2 linked regions of the Schizosaccharomyces pombe genome follow. The protein of the gene in region 1 interacts with the protein of each later gene in a biochemical or structural test. Each region holds a gene or a part of one and is shown in the gene's direction. Other genes may lie near its edges. The genes, in order: hri2 and tif211.

Region 1 (12,896 bases):
GAATTAAATTGTAAATGGGCATAAATTTCAGAGAAAGCAATTGTTTATAATAATTTAAACGTTCAAAGAAAAATATATATATTTTCGTGGAGGAAAATAAAATTCTAAGACGAATGAATTTGCTAATACGAGTGACGATTAAACATACTATTTATTGCTTCACCTACTAACCTTCGTTGTAATTTATCTACTTTTTAAAAAACATTAACTCGTAGTTGCATGCTAATTAGATTACCTAGATTTTTTTAAGGTGAGGTGCAGCTATGCATTTTGGCAATCACATATGGTTAAGTATTTTACTATGATTAATCTAGCAAAAATAAATATGACTGAAAGATACCAAAAAAAACTATTTTTTTTTTAGGTTTACACAAGCAAATAGTAGATGCTTTATTTTTCACCTTATTAAAAATTGATTTCTCGTAAAGTACTGAAACCAAAGTACGTAAATTGATCAAGTTGGTGTTTACACTTATACCTCTAGCTCAACCTCCGTCTCTTTCAACAATATACCGCTAACCCAGATTCCTTGATTTTGTCATTGAAATAAGTTAAATTCTTTTTTTTGCTTTCTATACAAAACAAAATTTCATTGTATCTCTGAAAGCATCATCATAATCATATTCCTGAAGTCCTTTTGAATTGCTGTTCATAACTTATTACTTCTCGAAGCTGGGTTTGAAAGCGTAAATATTTACAGTGGTTACTTCTTTGCAAAATTAGTGACCATCCTTTTTCTCTCTCACTTTCTTTTTCTTTGAAAATCAAATTTAGGGTTTTCAGTTTTGGGTGAATACGGTTAGTAATCATTCTATGCGTTTTGCATCCAATTTCTTTTCTTAGCAAAGCCGTTTTAGTATACGTTTATTTTGATTGAATGACTGAAGTTGAATGCTGGGACGATGATCCTGATTTTGCTTCCGACGTCGATAATGCTAGCCTATTTACTCAATCCATAGCTACCACTAGTGCTAGTACGAGTGTGGATGATGGGTTCTCGTTTGACGACTCTATTAGTCGTCTTAATAGCCTTTCAATTTCTGATGTACCAAGCGCTCATTCTCGTGTCGAACAATGGAATCAACAAGTACATAATTTAAACCATGAACTGTCTTCCAACAAGAACCGAATTTCTTCCAATGTAGAAGGCTATGAAGATGATTTTTCGTTCGATGAAGAAGGTGAAGAAGGTAATAATGAGTTTAATACACTTCGTCCCAATAAATACCAAGATGCCGATGTTGATGAATTCAATACTATTAGAGCATCTGAAACTGCTTCTCAAAGACCTCCAATTCCATTCTCTAGTGATACTCTTAAGAAAACATATCTTTCAAGTGAAAATGATGCTCGGTATCCCAGTGTTTCGGACTCCCCTTATTGTGAATCGGAAGGCTTTTCTTCATTTGAAGATGATTTTGAAATAGACCCAGATACCGACCTAAACAGTATTTTGCACAGAAAACAAAATAGGATGGATCCAAAAGCTTCCTTTTCCAGCGTAGAACAGTCTTCGCTTCGTACGCCTTCCTCTGCGCATAATGACGACGGCTTTTGGGATGATTTTGATATTGACTTTAATAACGAAACAGAATCGATCTTTCGGAAAAAGATTCGATCTCCAAATACCATCAACCAAAAGCATCCTTATATTTCCTCCACAATTTCTTATCAACCTAATGTGCATCAGGATGCAAAATATTATCCCCTTTGTAAAGACATATTTCCTTCACTCGCTAATGAAAACCCTCATTCTGATAACCCAAACCTAAAGTATTCTTCGAAAACACTTTCGAAAAGGGATACGTCTTCTCATTATCCAGAAACGTTGAAGGCTTCGAGTAAACATTCTTCTCCCGTGAAGGGAAATTCTTCTATAAGCTCCACATGGACTCCCTCGAATTTGAAGATCTATCATTCGAAAAATTCGATGGGTTTGATGGATTTGGACGCTTTGAAGACAGTTGCAAGTAATTCTAAATACAGAACAAAGCCTAAAAATTGCAAGACTTACGGAGATGGTACAGAACTTGATACTTTAGATGAATTACCAGTTGATTATGAATTTGAGCTTAAATTGAGAAAAAAGCAAACTACCAAAGTTTCCGGAACGCCTAAAAGTAAACACGCAGGTTCAACTCAAGAATGGCATTCACATACTACCCCTAGATCTACTTCGAAACATGAGAATAATTTAAATAATATAACTAATTCAGCAAAAAATGAGCATATTCGGTCTCAAAGGCAACACAAAACTCATGCCGCCCCTTCTAAAGAGTTAACAAAAGAATCGCTTTCCAATGATCAATTGAGCGTCAAAGAAAAACGCAGACACCATAAAAAGGCACCTACTTTAATACAAAATTTAAATTCCCCTAGAACCCCAAAAATTGTTGGAAAAATGCGATATAATCCCACAAAACATTGCTGGGAAGGAAACGATTATGCAATTAGAGATTTTGATACCCCTATCTCGCCTAGCCGTCCAGCATTAATTTCCAACATTTCTACAAAAAAAGGAATCCAGGTTGTCGGAAATATGGTATATGACCCTACAAGGTTACGATGGATTGATAATTCGATTTCTGGTCAAGAAGCGGAAGATCCCTTTAGCGGGTTTGATGATCTTGAGGATACAGACTCCACCTCGCAGTACTTGAACGAAAATTCAGGTAGCTTTAATGGTAGCATAAACTCAATAATCAATTTTCCAGATATGAGTGAAATATACGATGTCGGCCCAGAGTTTGAAAAAAAGCAATTTAGCGAAGATATTCAATGGCGAAAGAGAATTGATGGCTGGTTTTTTTCATTTAAAAACGATGACAGGTCACGACTATGGGAGCTTTATAATATACTTAATGCCGAACAATAAACAAGGTTTTGTCTTTACCTTGCGAATGTTTATATATAATTATACGAATGCTTTTGTTTATCGCAGATTTGATCTTTTTGTACATAGCTTAATACACTTCGAAGATTTTTCATTTTGTTTGCAAATAGATGTATAAGATGTACAACAATGATACAAATGTAATACTAATGTGACACCCAGACAAACTAGATTGTTTGAACAAGACAATACAAAGAAAATAATCAATTAAATTTGGACCGAATACATTATACCCTTAAATACCGTCTGTAATATAGAAACCATTTTTGCCATCATTATAATACTTGTAAGCGTCTTTTAACACATTATTGGGGTTGCCAAGGAGGTTGTGAGACATACCCAGAAGAGTAATTAGGATCCATATATGGATAGCCGGGATTATATGGGTTGGTAGGGGGAGGAACGGTACTAGGATTACCATGCCAGTCATTTCCTGAATCAAAATGCCTTTCACCATGGTGAATGGGTGGACCTCCCCTATATGGTTTACGACCCCGGAATCGCTCATCACGACGCATAGCAAAATCTTTTCCTCTTTTACTAATTGCCTTAGAACTTATTCCTAATCCAATTTCAATATCAGGTTCATCCAAAGCGATACCAGGAGTAATCGGAAGGCCACCCGTGCCGCCATATTCTGCAGTTACAAGCCAGGTACGATCGGCATCCGTCAACAAACGGATTGGGATAACGCTGATTCCTGTGGAAAAGTCAGAGCACTCTCGAGGTCCAAATCCTACACCCCATTTAGTACGAATAGTAGTATCAGCAAAAGGGACATTTTCCATCGCTACTTGAGCTTTCTCTGCAGCATCACGACGAAACATTTTCAAGAACCCGTGTCTGTAATTATGATTTAAAATTAAACTTTGTACAGACCCAAATCGTTCAAACATAGATCGAAGAACAGGTTCTCGCACAGAACGAGTAATACCACCAAGGAAAAGAGTACGGCTGTATACCTTAATAGAATCAGGTGGAATGGTTGGGTCACGCTCAAATCGGCGAGGAAATCCATCAGGGGTAGGTTTTGGCACACCATCTGCAGGAGGCAAAGTAGAAGGAATGGATAAATGAGAAGGACTAGGGCTACGACGAGGGCGACCACTACGAGGACTAGGGCTACGAGAACGATGTAAGGAGCCGAGTCTTAAGGATTGGGAAGAGGTAGGAGCTGGCAAAGGAACACTGCCGACACCAGCCGGCTGGAATGGAGCGTTATAGTTGGGAAAAGCAGCTTTCATGATGCTATCGATTTGTGCAGGTGGTACATTCTGAGAAGCCAATACATTCATGAGAGTGATCTGTTGACTCTGGGTATCATTGACCGATCCTGTCTTCATCCCCATGGGACCAGAGGGAATAGACTGTGGTACATTTGAAGGTTGGAATAGAGGGTTTGATAATGGATTGCCTGACTGAGACTGTGCATTAATGGCGGTAGCTGGATGAACAGGTAGGTTAGGGACGACAGCAGAAACGGATGGTGCGACGGCAGGCTGCGGTGGAGTGCTAACTGATTCTTCGGCAGCACTAGGGACGGGCGCCTTTTGAGCGAAAGCAGCCAATGCCTCTAGAATAGAAGCAGCATCGTTTTCGACAGGACGAGAAGTGGGGGCGGCTGCTTGACTACCAACAGAACCACCATTCCCCTCGGGATTAGTAGACTGTGATGGAGCAGCAGCAGAATCTACACTAACCGGTTCCGTACTTGCCATTGCATCTTTCAGCTTTGAACGAAGCGATTCTAGCTTCTCGGGAGGAAATGTTGAAGCCTTCTCCCAAATATCACAAAGCTTTAATATTTTAGGCTACATGCTTAGTTAGTTACAAATTAGTCCAATAATGTTAAAAGACTTCTCAAAGAGAATGATACTGTATTACAAGGAAAAAATACCTCTCTCATACAGTGTCTCGCTGATACAGAAGCAGAGAGAGCATACGATTATCCATACGGGATCTTATCCGTAGTCAACCTTGAAAAACTTCAGCTACACATACCAAATGAGCAGATGGCGCATGCTGTATAGCATCTGCGACCAAACTATCAGTTATTTCAGCAGCTTTGCACCAGCCGCCACTAAAAGACGCATCAACGGGATTTTCAAAAGATTCATTATTCTTTTTAGCACCGTCCTGAAAGCTACGAACGATTGAGTCTAGAATATACAAAGCTCCTAATTTATGGGTGACGGGAGCACGCTTCGCATACTTATACACACTAGCAACAAATTGCGCATTCTCTGAAACATTTTCCATCGACAAGTTAGTCAATTTCAAAATTTTTGATCCCGAGATTCCTGTCTTGGAATGTTCAAGGGAATCTAAAATACCATCGAATTCAGCGATTCCCGACATATCACAAGAAAAACGACAATGAAAAAAAAAAAAAACTTTTCAAAACTAGAAAACTACCCTGTTTCCTTTATAAGAATTTTACTACTTTTTTTCTTATATTAGTTTTTTACACGTGCTTGAAAGACGTTAAAAAAGGAAGTCACCCTGTTCTTAAATACTTTTTGTGTTATGGTTACGGTTAAGTGGTGAAGTAGGTGATGCTGGTTATAAAGCTGGTATTACGGAAGGGTAAGGAAAGTGCTTAAAGAGATGCTAAAAATTTCCAAAGTTTCACACTTTGTAAAAAAAAATATATATCATATTGTTTTAAAAAATGTATGAAAATTTTTAGTGTAAAAAAAAATAATAATAATGAGTAGCGTTTTTGTTAATTTCATGCCCATGATCCTTCTGGTAACAAGTTTGTCAGCCTCGACCACAAAATTGGGACTGCGAAGTAATCTCAGGGTTCGGGTTTATTTATGAGATTTACTATATATACAGGTACTCGTGCATTTGGTTCGGTATTCTCTCTTTGCCTTTTGGCTTAGATCAAGTGTAGTATCTGTTCTTTTCAGTTTAATCGCTGAAATCACCTCACTGAGGTGTTTCCGATTAATCTTGTTTTTGGTTTGAGTTGGAAAGCCTCTGGCTTGCTATGCTTTCCGACACTGGTGTTCTTGCTATTGCACTACTGGCAAGCGACGCCGAATCTTCTTCTGTTGACAGATTTGTGACGCATGAATTTGACAACATTGGATGGTTTAGGATGTGAGGTTTGAAAATATTTAACTTCGTACATTGATAGTGTGTGGTGAAGATAATATTGTTATCGTTGAAAGTAAGCAGTTTATTTAAATTTTTTCAGTTGCTAAACCCACTGAAAGAGAGGTTGAAGACTTGCTGATGCTATGCGTATTGAACTTTTAACACAGTGGGAAAGGTAATTAAATAATTTTATCTTTAAAATTCAGTAAGTAGTTATTAGTGGTTGGGGGTTTTGAGAATAAAAGTGAGGTAAGTAGTTAATGCTGTAAGCAATTGTGAACTGTAGAGTTGTGTTGACATTAGCATTTTTTTTCATTAATGCTTGATGATATCCTAATTTGTGGATAATATAGAAAGCATTTGACTGTTTTATGGTAGTCTAGATAGTCAATTTTTAGTGAAATGACTGAAGTCAAAGCATGTGATATACTGTATCGCATTTGATTTTGTAAACTGAGTCTAGCAATGTGCAAGGTCTCCTTTGTTATGCTTATGAAGATGGGTGTACCAAATGATATTGCTTATTAAGGAGCGTAATCATTTGCGATATGATTCAAGGTTGCTCCACCAATTCTATCTTTATTGCCATCTTTGATTCTGGCGATAATTTTTCGCTTCCACATTGCCAGACTTATATAATGACCCCCGGTATGTCTGATTGGGTTATTATCCTATAGCCACCACCGCCTTAATGAACTGAGACACATTGTATACTACTTAAAGTGGATCTCTTAGTTACGTTTGATTTAATTTTTTTAAGGTATAAACATAGACAACACAATCCTTTAATACCCATCTTCAACGGTTTGAGTGATTCATTGCTGATTAGTAAGGGGTGTATCAATCTTCATCAGCATCTACTTGTTCAATAGGTTTCAGGATATCTTTCGTTTGTTTTTCTTAGTTCTTTCAAACTTTCTTTGTTTTTTTATTCGTTTCTAGTCGATTAAAAACTTTAAAAAAATGTCTTCTGCATCCATGTTCGGGAGTCTTAAAACCAATGCTGTGGACGAATCCCAGTTGAAGGCTAGAATTGGAGTTTTAGCTCTCCAAGGAGCATTTATTGAACACATTAATATAATGAATTCCATTGATGGAGTAATTTCTTTTCCTGTTAAAACTGCTAAGGATTGCGAAAATATTGATGGCTTAATTATCCCAGGAGGTGAGTCTACTACCATTGGCAAATTAATCAACATTGATGAGAAGCTTCGTGATCGTTTGGAGCACTTGGTTGATCAAGGACTTCCTATTTGGGGAACGTGTGCTGGTATGATTCTTCTGTCGAAAAAGTCTCGAGGTGGAAAGTTCCCAGATCCTTATTTGTTGCGCGCCATGGATATTGAAGTGACTCGTAATTATTTTGGACCTCAAACTATGTCTTTTACAACTGATATTACAGTTACAGAGTCAATGCAATTTGAAGCCACTGAACCTTTACATTCCTTTTCGGCCACTTTTATTCGTGCTCCAGTCGCTTCGACAATCCTGTCTGATGATATTAATGTTTTAGCTACTATTGTTCATGAAGGCAACAAAGAGATTGTTGCGGTTGAGCAAGGTCCCTTTTTAGGTACATCGTTTCACCCCGAGCTGACCGCCGATAATAGATGGCATGAATGGTGGGTAAAAGAGCGTGTTTTACCTTTAAAGGAGAAAAAGGATTAGTTTTTTAAATTCATGCCTATAGTTGCATGTTGTATAATCCCACAAAAAGAGTTGAGACAGGTAAATGCCTCACTTATTATTTTAGTCAGTCATTAAGTTTTAAATAATAAATCCTTTTAGATTAATTTTTTAGATTTTAAGTGTTAATTGTTATTTGCTTTCAATCTTTTCTAGGTTCATTTGCGCTGCATAAGTTGCTGTCATTTCCATTGCTAAAAGCATATAGTTTGAATACATTATCAGTTAATCAAATGTTTATAAAAAATGCGCATTATTTTGGGTAATATAGATACACATTCCATAGAAAATTTAACCGAAGATTAAATTTTAGTACACTGGAATTATTCAGTAAGTGATAAATCAAAAATCAAAATTAAGAAAAAATAAAAAACTCCGTTGCGGGGAGTCGAACCCCGACCGCGTCGGTGAAAGCGACGAATCCTAGCCGTTGGACCACAACGGATTCCATGTGCTCTTTACTACTTAGTATAATTTAATATAAAAATTAAAGAATTGTTTATGAATGTGAAATGATAAATTAAATTGTGTCAAATCAAAATGTTTTTTCCTCACATCATGCTGGCTAATGTAATTAAATTTAATAGTTAGCTTGAAGTGCTCGTTCTCTTCAATTTTCCTTCTTACTATCTTGAGGTAAAACTAATGAATGAATTAATAATTCAAATGATTTCTGTCCACAACATTTATCTGGTAATAAAATATATCAATTCTTTAAACAAATTGGTTTTATAAATTCAGTTTCGAGCTGGATTCTTTTTGCTTTGATTTAGATTATAAATGTATCTTTGGCTTACTGTTTACGATGCTAATTTAAAAATTGACTTGCTTTTTCACGAATGAAGAAGTTCAAAAAAGAAGACTGATTATAATTACTTATCTGAATTTTTAACAGTACAAATACATACTTATCGTTAACACGACCATAGTCAGTAGAAACCATGTATTTTAGCTGTAGAGTTAAATTCTCCTAATGTTACTTTCATGATCTGAAAAGTCAACCACAAAGTTTCCATTAACAATTCTCTAACCTTCCATTGTAAGATACGAGATTAGCTGGTTGCGATTAACGGGATTTTGACAAATATTTTGATAAGTGCAGAAAAAAACTGGTTGTTTTCTTAATGCCTTTTTCACTTCCATCATCACAAATATGCGATTTTTCAACGCTCACAAGTCAGCGGAAGATGGGAATTACTCAGAGACAACAAATGCAATAAGTTTAAAAAATGAAAGACAATCAAGGGATTTGTCTGTCAATAAACATGGTAGGAATTAATTACAACTGTGTGTATAAAGCAGTTGACGAACTAAAAATATTGGTCATTGACAACCTAAGCTAATGTATTTATTAGGGCGGATGCTTTTAACTGCTTTGTTGGAAAATTTTTGTCGTATGTCTAAGCTCTCGTTTCATGTGAACTACTTGCTTACTTATTAAAGAACTGTATGACAATAATCCTGCCAAGTCCAAACGACTTTTTGCTTTAATTTGCCATACTCTTCAAAAAATAGGTATTTTGGAAGAAGAATATATTGAAGAACTTGCAGCCGTTAGATCCAATTATCAGGATGCTTTACACCATTTGATTCTGCAAGCGCGTGAGGCAATCCGTCTCGACGATGCTGAAGAGCGACTTTTAGCACTACCCGATCCCACCAATGTATTTGAAAAATTTCCACAAGAAACTGCTCTTTCGAAATTCTCTGTAGATGGATTAAATGTAAGACAGTTCCGATTCCGTGATCTTACGCTTGAGAGTTGGTTACAGTCAAGAAACTCTCGTTACATAGAGGACTTTGAGGAGTATTCTTTACTAGGAAGAGGTGGATTTGGATCAGTATATCACGTACGAAATAAGATTGACGGTGCTGAATACGCAATGAAGAAAATTAATTCAACATTTCAGCAAATGTCTTATTCCAAAATATTTAGAGAAATCAAATGTCTAGCAAAAATGGATCATCCAAATGTTATGTAAGCATCATCAGAAGGACTTGTTTTCATCGCCTTCCTTTTATTATTTCTAACATCGGCTTAGTCGATACTTTTCGAGCTGGGTAGAAAGCACCACAGAAGCAACACAAATGCCGATAGTAATGTCTAAAAATTCTAGTAGAGTACTTGGAACCTCAAGCTATTGTGATGTCAACGGAATGGACTCCATAATTTTTGAACCAACAGAATCTTCTGCCCTTACAGACGATATACTATTTGCAGAAGATCCTGGCACCGAGTCGATCATTTCAACTTCCAGAAAATCTAGCTACTCAAGCACTACTGAATCTTCTAACTTTGAGAATTTAGAAAGCCCTCGTAATCTTCATGACTCTAATGTTTCTACTTTTAATAATACCACCATCTTGGATGACGACTATTCTAGTAGCATGCACATATCTAAAACTGGACCCACTCATTCTTTTATTATTTATATTCAAATGCAGCTTTGCTTTGATGATCTAGAGTCCTATCTAATAAGAAGAAACCATTTTCTTTCATTCCCACTATGTAAGGAACAAATACAACTGCATACGGATTTATTCCGAATGATAATTAATGGCGTTATGTACGTACATGAAGGTGTGAACTTGATCCATCGAGATATCAAACCCAGCAATATATTTCTTGCTAAATCTTTACCGGAGGACCGTGGGTCTGTTCCTTTAATTAGTTATAATGATAAAAACGATTTGAAAGAATACATTACTCCTAAGATTGGTGATTTTGGACTCGTTGTTGAAAATAAAAAAAACACAGAAACCGCACTTTCTTTTCTTGAACGAAACCACTTGCCTAATCTGCAAGATGAGACTCAGCATATAGGCACTGCAACTTACGCGGCTCCGGAATTGCTAGATGCTATGTCTTCTCAGCATAATAAATTTACAAAAAAAATCGATACATTCTCATTAGGAATGGTTTTGTTTGAGCTGTTGCACCCGTTTCAAACAAATATGGAACGTGCAACAAAACTTCAAGACCTTCGTCGAGGAAATCTTCCTGAAGAGTTCGTTGAGCAACATATTTGTGAGTCAAGTTTAATTTTATGGATGACAGCCAAAGACCCCACGAAGCGACCATCACTTCTGGAAGTTCTCAATTGTGGACTATTATTACCTAACCAAGTCTCAATGCCAAATATATCAAATATTGTATCAACAAACCACTTGGATGTTGAAACTCAAATGAAACTTATAATGGATGAAAATCAGCGACTGCGTGAACAAATTGCTGTTCTACGATCCAGGATTCAACATCTTGAAACCCGCTAAACTAAAAATCTTCACTTTTTAATACTTAAATTTCCAGTCAATTTGTTCAGTTTCCCGAAAGTATAGCATTATTTATATCTAACGCTTTTATGCCACAAGTAATAAAATAAAGCAAGGATACATTAAAGCTAATTTTGTTTGTAAAAGCTCCGATAAATTCCTTATTATTAAAACCATTCATATCTATACACCTAAATAATCCAAAATAAAAACGACAAAGTAAAAACTATTGAACAGAATCCCTTAAAAAAAGATAACATTCAAAACCTTTTTTTTTTTTTTACCAAGAATGTTGAACAGCAGGTATTTTTTCATTTTCACGTTCTTGCTCATACTCAATATGAATATGAGGAGCGCGCTTCTTCCTGGATTTCTTTGCATCGTCGGTCTTACGTTTCCTGATTTTTCCTTTGTTATCCTCATCCTCATCCTCATCGGATTCAGACTCTGAGCTTTCCTCCTCTTCAGACTCTGAAGTTTCCATGGACTGATCTGAGCCGAGCCAATCTTCCAAATCAGAGATTTCTTCTTCATCTTCATCATCACTAACAAATTCTAATTCAGCTTCTTCTCGTTCCTCCTCTTCCTCGCCTTCATCAATTAAACCCTCACGTGCGGCTAGTACCTTGTTCCATATTTCTTCATTAACATTCAAAGGTTGATCACCATAAACACCACTTTTAAGTCGCTTAACCAATTCTTTTTCAATATTTTTCTCTAATTTGGCGGCAATAAGTGCTTTTCTTTCACGAGAAGCTTCACGATGCGCTTGTTTAGGCTTAATGGGAATTAATGCTGGTTGGTGTTTTAATGCCAATCGTCTAGCCTTCAATAGGTACTGAGTGAGGCGGGTTAGTCTTTGCTTACAGCGGTGGATTTGACGACCAGGCCAATACAATAACTGTTGATCAATTTGCTCCAACGCTTTAGCGTAATTTTTTGATAACTTTATCCGTTGCCAAAGTTTCGATGGAAAATGCGCACGTTCTATAGTTTTCATGTAAAGATACAGCTTTCCATTATCCTCCCGTACTGTGGCATATCTGGAGTTAGCCAATGGACATGATTGTCTATTGCACAACCCAGTGACATTGTATTCATTTCTGCAAAAATTTTGTGCCTCCCCTCTAAAAATTGTGTTAGGTTATAATGTAATACTAAAAGTGCGAAATCAACTTACTTGATCCTATATGAACAAAATTCATGACCTACAACCTGCCAAATCACCTCGTCTTGCTGCATTTTCGAGTATGGCGCTTGGTAAAGAAAATCCAATTAACAAATTCAAGAATCAACCATATAACGAATTTTAAGAGAATGCGGTAAATATTATTAACGGGAAAAATTGTAAGTAATGTTGTGCAAATGCATGGATCAAGTAGACTGCAGATATCCAACATTAAATTACAGTTGTTTAGTTGTTTGGTGTAGCGTTCGTTTTTGGGATTAATCCTTCTTTAGTTTCGATGATTTATTAATAACCATTGATACTTTTCATTAACTATATTGGCTTGCTAATCTCCTAAAAATTCTTCAATTGCAATTTACGATCATTTATACTTGATTTTTAAACTGTTGATTGATTGATTAGATAATTGCTTCCGTATGTATAATTTTGCAATAAGCTAAGAAGCTTACTGCTTAATTTTGAAGTTAACTACCAAAGCAACTAATAACGTCAAATCTTCAGTCTTGTTTGAGATAATTAATCAATTTACTACTGTTAAACTAATGTTGGAAGATAAAAAAGCATGCGAATATTAAATCGAGTCTTTTTAAATACTTTTCAAGCATGCTTTAGAAGATTCGTTCATCAAATTCCTACTATATATGCATTATCAACTCCTCCCGGTACATCTGCTGTTGCAATTGTTCGTATTTCTGGCCCAAATGCATGCAAGGTAAGGCAAATGTCTATAAATCTAGAACAAACCGATCA
Region 2 (11,857 bases), 2.2 Mb from region 1:
GTCGTTCACATTGTCGGTGTTCCCAACACCAAGGCTCAAGCCACTCGTCCCCTTCTTCATCACACACTGGGAAATGGTGACTTTAAAGTCTTCCAGCGTATGTCCTCCGAGTTGTCTGCCGATGTCGCCTTCCTGGATAGCGGTGACTCTGCCGGTCGTCTCATCGACAACCTGTTGGAAACGTGCGTTCGCACTTCAAGACCCGTTTATCTGGCCGTTCCTTCGGACGCCGGCTACTTCTACACGGATGCTTCTCCCTTGAAGACTCCATTGGTTTTCCCTGTTCCCGAAAACAACAAGGAGATTGAGCACGAGGTGGTTTCTGAGATTCTCGAATTGATCGAAAAATCCAAGAACCCTTCTATCCTCGTTGACGCTTGTGTTTCCCGCTTCCACATTCAACAGGAAACCCAAGACTTTATTGATGCGACCCATTTCCCCACTTACGTTACTCCCATGGGTAAGACTGCGATCAATGAGTCATCCCCCTACTTTGATGGCGTCTACATTGGCTCCTTGACCGAGCCTTCCATCAAAGAACGTGCCGAATCTACTGACTTGCTTCTCATCATCGGTGGTCTTCGCTCCGATTTCAACTCGGGCACCTTTACTTATGCTACCCCTGCATCTCAAACCATCGAATTTCATTCCGACTACACCAAAATTCGTTCTGGCGTTTACGAGGGCATTTCGATGAAACATTTGTTGCCCAAGCTCACCGCTGCCATTGACAAAAAGTCCGTTCAGGCAAAGGCCCGTCCTGTTCACTTTGAGCCACCAAAGGCTGTTGCTGCTGAGGGTTACGCCGAAGGAACCATTACCCACAAATGGTTCTGGCCTACGTTTGCCTCTTTTCTTCGTGAGTCCGATGTAGTGACTACCGAGACAGGTACCTCCAACTTTGGTATTTTGGATTGCATTTTCCCCAAAGGCTGCCAAAATCTCTCACAGGTATTATGGGGCTCAATTGGTTGGTCGGTTGGCGCTATGTTTGGTGCTACGTTGGGCATCAAGGATTCCGATGCTCCTCACCGTCGTTCCATATTGATTGTTGGTGACGGTTCCCTTCATTTAACTGTTCAGGAAATTTCTGCTACCATCCGTAACGGTCTCACCCCTATCATATTTGTAATTAACAATAAGGGATATACAATTGAACGTCTCATTCACGGTCTTCACGCTGTTTACAACGACATCAACACTGAATGGGACTATCAAAACCTTCTTAAAGGCTATGGTGCCAAAAATTCTCGCTCCTATAACATTCATTCAGAAAAGGAGCTCCTCGATCTCTTTAAAGATGAGGAATTTGGAAAAGCTGATGTAATTCAGCTCGTTGAAGTTCATATGCCTGTCTTGGATGCTCCTCGTGTTTTGATTGAGCAAGCCAAACTTACCGCTTCTCTTAACAAGCAGTAAAAAATATGGCTATGGCTATATTATTATGATATGTTTTTGATTTTGAAATTTACAATATTTCTCAAATGATGCTTTTGTTAGGTTAGTTAATTTGCAACAGTCGTTTTTTTTTTCTACGTCAATCCATATTTCTTTCATAAAATGAATGAATATATTGAAGTTTATGCAGCGGTTGTTTTTTTGTTGGTAATTAGGATTCATTGAATGATTTATTTTTTTTTTCTTTTTGCATCCCCTTACTCCAAGGTAGACTTGTCCAGATAATTCCCTGTTAGTATAAACTCAATAACATAAAAAAAGGTCATTGAGACGACTGGTAATGAGTAGCAGCAATAGAATCACTAAATAATATAGTACCTTCAATTTGGTCTCTCGTCTATGTCTTTGGCATAGATGGTAGATACAAAGCATTCGCTACAACCAAATCTTCCTCATGGCTTACAGATACCATTACGGGAGAAAGCGGAAATCGGGGATCATGAATAACAACGGAAGGGTAGCCTATATTAATCATAACAAAGTCAGTAACTTTACAAACCTTTTATTTTTAAACATTGAACATGGAAAACAAATGACACACCTGTGGGAGTTCGAACATACTCCATCATAGACATGTAAACTCGAAAATTCGGTTGTAAAGCTTTGAAAACAGCTTCTTTGACGCACCATCTACATAGGAAAATAACCGTTAAAACTATGAAACGATCATAAATATAGACAAGCATACCTAACAGCAAGCCATTTAGCCTGTTCGCTTAAACGAGGCAGCGAGGAATTGCTTTTAATCAGGTTGTACTTTTTAATTTCATTTTCACACAGACATTTTTTTAAAAAGTTCTTTTCCCATTCAGGAGAGCGTTGAATTAATCTTGAGATTCTTGAAATTTTTAAAATGTCAATCCCTAAACCCATTTCGATTTTTGATTCTTTATAACATGAACAGGAAATATTAATGGTAATGCAAGAAGAAAAAAAGAAATCTATGGCTTCAATAATTTTGAACGCTTAATTAATAATATATTGTAAACTAAATTTCCGACACACTAAACGAGATATAAAAATCTTTATCCTTAAATAAAATGAAATAAATTTATCTAATTCATTATCGATTAGTGCCCCCAAAGACATCAAATCCAATTCGTTTCGTAGCGAATGCAGTAGCAGGAGTTTTTACTGTAACAAGTGTACTCTCTACTCACTCCCAGTTACAAAAGTGTTCAAAGGGAACCAAAAATTATATATTTGTAATCCTTTCAATCACGAAAAAAAAAATTTCATATGGTAAGAGATAGAATTTATCTCTAGATAATACGAGTACTAACCATATAGTCACACTTTGAGATTTTATCCCTTGAAGGTCTTCGAAATGGTAAGCCAATTCATTTATGGGAAATGAAAAAGAAACTTAAAATTTACATTCAAACATCTATGATTCTTATAAAATGTATTAATCTTTCTGTGTGCTAATATTTGTTGCAAGATGGTCGACGGTGGGATGAGATGAGAAACTTTCAGTGTCGTATTGGAATCGAGCCTTCGGAGAATGGGTCGGCGTTTATTGAATTGGGTAACACAAAGGTCTTGTGTATAGTCGATGGACCCTCGGAGCCTGTAATAAAGTCCAAAGCTAGAGCTGACAGAACATTTGTGAATGTCGAAATAAACATTGCTTCTTTCAGCACAATAGATGTGAAAAAGAGATTTAAATCGGATAGGAGAATTCAATTGCAATGTTTAGCTTTACAAAATACATTTGAGGAGATAATTCAAACAGAATTATATCCCAGAAGTCAAATTTCTGTCTACTTGCATGTTTTACAAGATGATGGTGCAGTAATGGCATCTTGTATCAACGCTACTACTCTTGCCTTAATAGATGCTGGTATACCAGTTAAAGATTTCGTTTGCTGTAGTACAGCTGGGATTGTTGAGTCTGATATGCTGTTGGATTTAAACTCACTAGAGGAGTCAGCTCTTTCATGGTTGACGGTTGCTGTTTTGGGGAACATAAAAAAGGTCGTATATATGCAGCTGGAAACTAGTATGCATTTGGATTATTTGGAGTCAGTAATGAATATGGCGATCGCTGGATCAGAACATATTTATAACACGATGCAAAGTGCGGTTCGACAAAGCGCTAAACCGGCACTTGCAAGTCTCAGCTAATGACAAAATTTTGGGGAAAAAAACTATTAAAAATAAATGAACGGGAAGATTAATTTTTATAATTATACATTGATAAGTCATCACAATTGCAACTTTACTTAGCTCTACGATATTCTGACAAAACGTATACAGCTTTACTCATTTTATTCCTAGTACAACGTTTTTGTCCTTATCCTTGGTATTTCTGTATAAGTATCAAAAAAATCACCTCGAATATCGTATATAATCTTTTAATGATTGCGTCCCTTTTTTGTCTAAAGGGGCTTATATTACAAAAAATATGGATTGTACTGTAGATATTATGCATCAAAAAAGGCTCATTAATTAGTTGAAGATTTTATGAATAAATTCGGTTATTCAGATCTCACTTATTATAATAAATTGATTATTTTTTGGGGGAGGCTTTCATAAACAACCGGGAATTTTTCATTCAACAGATATTACAGATTGATGTGGATTAAAAAGAAAATATATATATATATATATATTTTTTTAGATTTTTAGATATAAGAAACCTAAGGTTTATTATGAGAATCGTAAAACTGTTTTTCGAGATAAATGTTAAATTTGTTAATGTTAAAATATGAAAAACACAGTATTTTTATTTTATATATTTCTATAATGGTGCAAACTAACAGTAGCTCTTGTAGCTCAGTGGTAGAGCGCCTGTCTCGTAAACAGGAGGTCCAGTGTTCGAGTCACTGCCGGAGCAGTTTTTATATTTTTCGATCACAGATCGGCCTTTCTAATAAGCATTGAAAGCTACAAAATGAGTATACTAAGATACTTATTAATGCATATTCTTGTAAATAGGGTTTCTCACAATTCATCGAATATACATACTCAAATTCTGCCGTTACTAGTTGATTGCTGATTTCAAGGACATCTTGATTAATAAAATGGAAGAATCGCTGTAGGATCAACAGTTAATATTACCTTCGTTTTAAAAATGAGGAATCTCGTGCCGTTCAACCAAAGTAAAAATGAAACTTCGTCAAACTGCATGACTAAGTTTCCCCTTTCTGTTTTTGATGCTTTCATAGCACTGTCAAGAATACCGTTGCGCAAATATCTGGCAATTATATACATACCAGTTCATCGCGGCCTGATTTAAGTTTTGTACGTTTTATTGTTTTCAATTGTTTTTACTAGACAGCATACTGAAATATGCCTTCAACAGTTTTTAATTTTATCAGTTTGATTGAATACATCAGTTTCCCTAAATGCTTTCTATCTTTGCCTTCAAAAACTTATTGCTTATACATGTTATAAATATACTATTTAAACGTCTACGGCCATACCTAGGCGAAAACACCAGTTCCCGTCCGATCACTGCAGTTAAGCGTCTGAGGGCCTCGTTAGTACTATGGTTGGAGACAACATGGGAATCCGGGGTGCTGTAGGCTCATCTTTTTTTGTTGATGATTTGCTTCTTTTTATATTAACATATTTGGAAAATACTTGTAATTAATTTAAAGCGGCTTTTCTCATTCTAGGTACTAGATGAGTACTTTCGTTACAGCGCAATTCTTGTATTGACCAGGTACGAATCGGAATGGAGGACATCCCACAACAGACAAAAAATGAAATACAATTCACAAATTAGTACCACATCTTGTTCATTTTCATGAACAAGTGTTAAAGAACTTTTATATTTATATAAAAGACATATTCAACTGGTTGTCTTTACTAAGTTTAGATGCATTCTTGATTCAATGTATCTACGAGAAGCGCATTGAAAAAAAAAAGTTTGTTTGTAATAGTTTATATTCAAAGACTGTTGAAAACACATTTCCTCAACTATTCTTGAGTTTGGCATTGATAACCTTTTGAATTTCATTAATACGAGTTCTCACTTTTTTTTGTAATCCAAAAAACGGTGATGGATGGTTTGTAAGGCAATGGATTAACAACTTTTCAATAAAATAATTCTTTACTCTAGTCAAAGGAACAAGTGGAATCAATTAGACAGAGTCTTCTATTCGTAAACTTTCCAATTGTAATTTTCGTTTGAGGGAAAAGAAAGTTTAAGTATATTATCTGTAATTCTAAACGATGTAGTAAACTAGTAGTTTATTAAACACTTTAGTTTATTAAATACTTTACTGCTAGTTTATTCAGCGTTCGGCTGGTAAGCCAGTTATCACCGATCGTTATGTGCTTTTAGATACTAATAAATCTTCTTTAAGGAAACTTTTTAAATATAAAGAATAATTATTGATAAACAGTTAAGTTAAAATGACCAATGTCTGGGTTCTGAAAAGAAGCAAAATTGGCCCCTAGAGTTTAGAAGTGGGTAGTCCACACAAATTTTTACTCAGAACCAAACACTCAACACTTTGCAAAAATGTCGACGACAAGCTGCAGAATGTACGAGAATCGCTTCCCGGAAGTGGATGAACTCGTTGTTGTCAACGGTATGTAAAAAATGCACATGTTGTCTGTCTAAAGAAACGGTAATGGCTAATATTTCCAATAGTTCGTCAAATCCAGGAGATGGGCGCTTATGTAAAATTGTTGGAATACGATAATATTGAAGGAATGGTTTTGCTCTCTGAGCTTTCCAGACGTCGTATTCGTTCAGTACAAAAGCATATTCGCGTTGGTCGTAATGAAGTCGTCGTGGTCTTACGTGTCGACAAGGAAAAAGGTAAGAATTTATTAGTAGTTTTTTTTTTTTTTTTTTTTAAAAAAAAGAAAAACAAAAGGGGAAAAAAGGTTTATAAGTTGTTAGGAATGTACTAACCAGGATTAAGGATACATCGATCTTTCAAAGCGCCGTGTTAGCCCTGAGGATGTTGTAAAGTGCGAAGAACGCTTCAACAAATCTAAGGCTGTTCATTCCATTATGCGCCATATTGCTGAGAAGCATAATGTTCCTTTGGAGACCATGTATACCACAATTGGATGGCCATTATACCGCAAATATGGACATGCTTATGACGCCTTTAAGCTTGCTATTAGTAACCCAGATCATGTCTTTGAGGGTTTAGAACCTCCCAAATCGGGTGTTATTAATGATTTGTTGGCTCAAATCTCTCGTCGTCTGACGCCTCAGCCCATTAAAATTCGTGCTGACGTTGAAGTCACTTGCTTTGGCTACGAAGGTATTAACGCTATCAAGGCCGCTTTGAAGGCTGCTGAAGATGTTCATACCGAGGAGGTTCCTATCAAAGTTAAACTTGTTGCTCCTCCACTTTACGTCCTTTTGACAAACGCATTAGATAAGTCATTGGGTCTCAAAAAGCTAGAAGAGGCAATTGGTGCAATCGAAAAATCCATTACAGCATCCAATGGTACCTGTACTGTTAAAATGAAACCCAAGGCGGTTAGTGAAACTGACGAATTGGAGCTTGCCGATTTGATGAAAAAATTTGAAAAGGAAAATGCTGAAATCTCTGGTGATGAAGAGGATGACCAAAGCGGTTCTGAGTAAATGGATTAGACACTAGCTAATATACGCTTTTTCATTGTGAATTTTTGGCACTTTAGTGTTCCATTATAATCTGGGGTTCTTTTTATTTTGTACTATACACTTTATCAAATTTATCTAGTGATATCTATGGTTAAAAAATTTCCTCTTCTTTTTTCCGAATGCGTAAGAGTTCTTTTATATGTTACGAGATAATATGAAAACGCTAGACGCTGCATCTTGTTCCTTTGTATGTACAATAATAAGTTCAGTTCCAATATAGTAGAAATAATGGACAACAAATGCAATTACAAATAATAAAGTTACAAAAGACTTATTACTGTGGTTAGCTACGGCGTGTAATATCTGCTTTGGGGAGGATTGGGGAAATTAAAGAACTGAATTTCTTAATGTACAAGTAATCTGGTACTTATTATGTGAGTGAAAAACAAACAAGGACAAGAATAAGATAAAAAGGATTCGTAATCGTGAAGATATGATTAATAAATTAACCATTTTGCAAATCACATATACACAGCTTGAACAACGTATAATCAAATATAGTAAGTTCGGAACAGGTGAAAAATTAGCGGATATTAAAGCCCAAAAAAAAACAACAATGCTTGCATTCAATAATGGGAAGACCAACAGACTTTAGATTGGGGAAAAATTACTTAGCATCAACAAGCTTCTGATCCCTACAAGCTTCGCAATACCATGTACCTTCAGGAGGAGCTTTAAGACCAACACACTCCATATGGAACCATTCACGCTCACAATTAGCATTGTCACAAGCGACCATTTGCCCATATGATCCTTGCTGGCAAAAACAATACTTTTCATTATCCTCTTCCATATCTTCTTCTGAGACCATTTCATTCGGCGTTGTGGAATCTGCCTTAGTTTCTAACTGGGTGGTTGCAGTGGCATTCGAAACCTTCTGACCGCGAGTTGAACCAGAATCTGCCAACGAAGCCGTATAAGGAGAGTGATAGACTCCATTTTGAATTGCACCCCTGGTAGTTGCTGAAGTACGACGGCGACCAGCTGTTGAGGCTCCCGACCGAGAAGGGGCCGGTGTTTGACGAGCACTTGAGGCACCACTTGGACTGTATCCACCATACGGTGAAGAAGCATAGTAGTCAGGAGCATTTAACAATTCCGCAGCTGTAAATCCATGACCGGCCTTTGCAAGTCTATCATCCAATCGCTTTATGTGCCGTGTAAGTCCCAATCTGGCACGATCCGCCAACTGGACTTTCTCGTTCTGTATATTAATTGCCTTTTGATACTCCTCGCGAATCGTCGAATACAAAGCATCTTCTTTTGGATGTGGGGTCAAGGAACCATGTGATTTAATGTATGACTGAATCTGAGAATCAGCTGCTTGAATTCTCTTCCAGATGTCATGTACAGCAACTTCCTTCACACTAATTTCGTCAAAGATGTGTTTTGTTTCGTTGGGAACATTATCCAACGTTTGCAAATACTCACTTAGTATGTAAGCTGTATCATCTGCCATTATTCTCAAATTGAAAATTATAGATACGTTCTAATTTCCGCTTTATGCAAAAATTATTATTATGATTTCAAATTCCAAAAGAAAGGGAGATTTGAGTCTTTTAAAGAGATAGGGAAAGTTGATATTCCACTAATATTTTCGATACTTCAATAACTAATGAATAAAAGATACTATGACTTTATCTTTTAAAGTAGAGGAATGTGACAATAAATGTACAAACGAGAAGGACAAAGACACTAATTGAAATAATATATATGAACCTATGGCTCGTTTTTGTGTCGTTTAAAGATTATTTTTACACTCTCTTAAGCTGCTGAAAATTTTTCCGGTTGTTTATAGTAGCCCACATTTGGTGTTGAGTTCCGCCACTCCATATAATGTAAACACAGTACTGGAAGGCAAAGAGGGCGAAATAAAAACATAAGAATTCACGCAAACCAAATCACTTTGAAGATAAATCTTTTCAACGTATGTATGATATCTAAGTTGCCAAATTGTCTATGAATTCACATGCTAAAGGTTACCATCTGTTTAAGTAATAACGATACGTTATTAATGTGTTAGTTCATATATGGAAGCATAACATACTAAACTACACCTAAGTTGGTAGCTTCCTTCTGTGTTCACTGAGATATACATTTTTAAGTTATAAGAATGAACCAGCACTAGCAATTCTTCAAAAAATTGTAAATCCTATTTGTTCTTGTGTTTATGGGCTTCAAAGAGTTTGAATTAACGCTTTGTTGAAGTTGTACATTTTATCTAATAAGGTATCGGGTTTAGCGACCTTTTGCTACGTATTCTGCGCTCGACGTAAAAATAAAGTATTTACAGTTCGTGTTGCTGTTTATTATTTGGATTGAATTCTTTTCTATAAAAAAATCTGGGTTGTTTTTCGATTTATATTAATTTGGCATTGGTCAATAACTTTCATTTCTCTTGTTTCTTCTGAAACAGTTATTAATTTGTTTCTTAATTTTATTTATTCTTTTCTTGTTCTTTCTTTAGAAAAGATATTTTCATTTAATTTGTCTCGCGGTTTTTTTTAGTATAATAGTCTGTATATCATGGATACTCCTGAGACATCCACACCTTATGAACAAGTTGAAAAGGGGTCTTTTTTTAGCTTTCGACCTCAAAAAAAGCGTGTCACATATCACTTAGATGAACAGGTGGGAAACTACCACTATGGTGACAAACATCCAATGAAGCCCCATCGAATTACCATTACAAATCATTTAGTGATGGGTTATGGGTTGCATAACAAAATGAGTGTATTCAGCCCCCGGATGGCAACTTTTGGTGAAATGTCAGAATTTCATAGGGAGGATTATTTGGATTTCCTTAAGCGCGTTACTCCTGATAATGCTGAACAATTTGCTGATAAGTTCCAACAATTCAATATTGGTGATGACTGTCCGGTCTTTGACGGCACTTATGAATTTTCTCAAAGGTCGGCAGGCGCTAGTTTGGATGCTTCTCGGAAGTTAGTGCAAGGTCAAACAGACATTGCTATCAATTGGAGCGGTGGTCTCCATCATGCAAAGCGTGGTGAGGCTAGTGGATTCTGCTATGTTAATGATATTGTTCTAGCAATTTTGAACATGCTACGGTTTTTTCCTCGCGTTTTGTATATCGATATCGATATTCATCATGGAGATGGTGTGCAGCAAGCATTCTATGAATCTGACCGCGTGTTGACGGTTTCTTTTCACAAGTATAATGGTGATTTTTTTCCTGCAACTGGTAATTTTGATGAAAATGGCGTGAAAGGAGGGAAATATTTTGCTTTAAACGTTCCTTTGGAAGATGGTATTGGTGATGAACAGTACACTAGTCTTTTCAAATCCATAATTGAACCAACTATCAATACTTTTCAACCTTCTGCAATTGTCCTTCAGTGTGGTGCTGATTCGCTTGGTTATGATCGGCTCGGCGTGTTCAATCTGAGCATCCATGCACATGGGGAATGTGTTAGATTTACCCGTTCATTCAATATACCCATGCTTGTAGTTGGAGGTGGTGGTTATACTCTTAGAAATGTTGCTAGAGCGTGGTGTTATGAAACTTCCATATGTGTAAACGAACAAATACCTTCAGAATTACCTCGTGAAACTTTGTATTACGAATTTTTCGCACCAGATTACACCCTCCATCCGCGATTAACCACGAAGATAGAAAATAAAAATACACCGAAAGCTCTTGAAGATCTTCGAATACGGGCCTTGGAGCAATTACGTTACTTAGGAGGAGCGCCAAGCGTTCAGATGCAGCAAATTCCACCAGACTTAACTGGGCATTTGGAAGAAGAAGACGAACGGTTGAATGATGAATACTTAGACAAAGCTGTGGATGTTCGCGTTCGAGGCTGATATTAATGAATTTTCGACTTTTTATTTGATATCCGTACAAACATCAAATAATTTTAGTTAATGTTTATAGACATTGTAAATATTAATAATTGACCCTATACGAAAATACGTTTACCATAGTGATTATGTATTATTTTTATAAACGATTATGCAAAAAAAAACACTAAATTTATTCCTCTTTGTCTAAACGAACTGCAGGGCTAGCCTCAATTAGGTCCAAGTTAACCTTAGGACCAATCAATTGTCTAATGTCGGCCACACCATATTTGATCATAGTGGGGCGCTCTAAAGAAAGACCAAAACCTAAACAACGAACATCTTTAGGTAATCCCATAGGCTCTAACATCTCCGGACGGAACATGCCGCTGTTTCCGACTTCAACCCACTTACCAAGCTTTTCGTGGTAGGAAAAGACTTCCAATGAAGGTTCAGTATAAGGATTATAAGCAGGTTTGAAGCGCAAATTTTTAACGTTCATTTTTCCAAAGAACACCTCAAGGAAACCGATCAAATCACCGAGGGTAATATTTCTATCGCAGATTACGCCTTCGACTTGATGAAATTCGGCAAGATGAGTTGCGTCAACGGTTTCATTGCGGAAGACCCGATCAATTGAGAAGTATTTAGCAGGGTGAAAGCCATTTTGGGCAAGTTTGTACAACATATTCGCCGAGACAGCAGTAGTATGAGTACGAAGAACTAGTTTACGAGTTTCCTCCAAGGAAAAGGGAGCACGGTATCCAATGCCCTTAGTCTCACCACCGTTTTCGTGAGTGGCCTTTACTCGAGCAACATATTCGGGATCTGGCAATTTATCAGTAGAAGCAGGAACTTTCAAAAAGAAAGTATCTTGAGCATCCCTTGCTGAATGTTGTTGGGGGACAAATAAAGCATCAAAGTTCCAAAATCCACTTTCAACAAAATTGTTGGTTGGCATTTCTTCAAAACCCAATTCGAAGAAAAATT

Evidence for each region.
Region 2: of the proteins of hri2 (region 1) and tif211, one has a biochemical effect on the other in vitro, tested with the Schizosaccharomyces pombe proteins (one study listed by BioGRID).

The regions. Positions count from the first base shown.
Region 1 is NC_003424.3:952,416-965,311, reverse strand, and holds hri2 (eIF2 alpha kinase Hri2), read left to right. Parts: upstream 1-8,701; 5' UTR 8,702-8,837; coding exon 8,838-8,952; exon of another isoform or gene 8,953-9,039; coding exon 9,040-9,078; exon of another isoform or gene 9,079-9,127; coding exon 9,128-9,662; intron 9,663-9,726; coding exon 9,727-10,957; 3' UTR 10,958-11,033; downstream 11,034-12,896. Other genes in the region: two-component GAP Byr4, read left to right, coding at 878-2,875; poly(A)site selection protein Seb1, read right to left, coding at 3,199-4,704, 4,895-5,251; sno1 (glutamine aminotransferase subunit), read left to right, coding at 6,962-7,666; nuclear HMG-like acidic protein Mak16, read right to left, coding at 11,238-12,084, 12,138-12,199; GTPase mss1, read left to right, coding at 12,709-12,858. UniProt on the Schizosaccharomyces pombe protein: Mediates down-regulation of protein synthesis in response to stress conditions by the phosphorylation of the alpha subunit of eIF-2 (tif211) on 'Ser-52'. Protein synthesis is inhibited at the level of initiation. Activity is inhibited in the presence of heme.
Region 2 is NC_003424.3:3,160,524-3,172,380, forward strand, and holds tif211 (translation initiation factor eIF2 alpha subunit), read left to right. Parts: upstream 1-5,904; 5' UTR 5,905-5,932; coding exon 5,933-6,002; exon of another isoform or gene 6,003-6,064; coding exon 6,065-6,235; exon of another isoform or gene 6,236-6,341; coding exon 6,342-7,021; 3' UTR 7,022-7,176; downstream 7,177-11,857. Other genes in the region: pdc201 (pyruvate decarboxylase), read left to right, coding at 1-1,419; ppt2 (holo-[acyl-carrier-protein] synthase new8), read right to left, coding at 1,796-1,920, 2,000-2,088, 2,147-2,331; exosome 3'-5' phosphorolytic exoribonuclease Rrp41, read left to right, coding at 2,698-2,700, 2,749-2,788, 2,900-3,585; png1 (chromatin modification-related protein), read right to left, coding at 7,668-8,519; class 1 histone deacetylase Hos2, read left to right, coding at 9,587-10,891; phenylalanine--tRNA (Phe) ligase alpha subunit Frs2, read right to left, coding at 11,061-11,857. UniProt on the Schizosaccharomyces pombe protein: eIF-2 functions in the early steps of protein synthesis by forming a ternary complex with GTP and initiator tRNA. This complex binds to a 40S ribosomal subunit, followed by mRNA binding to form a 43S pre-initiation complex.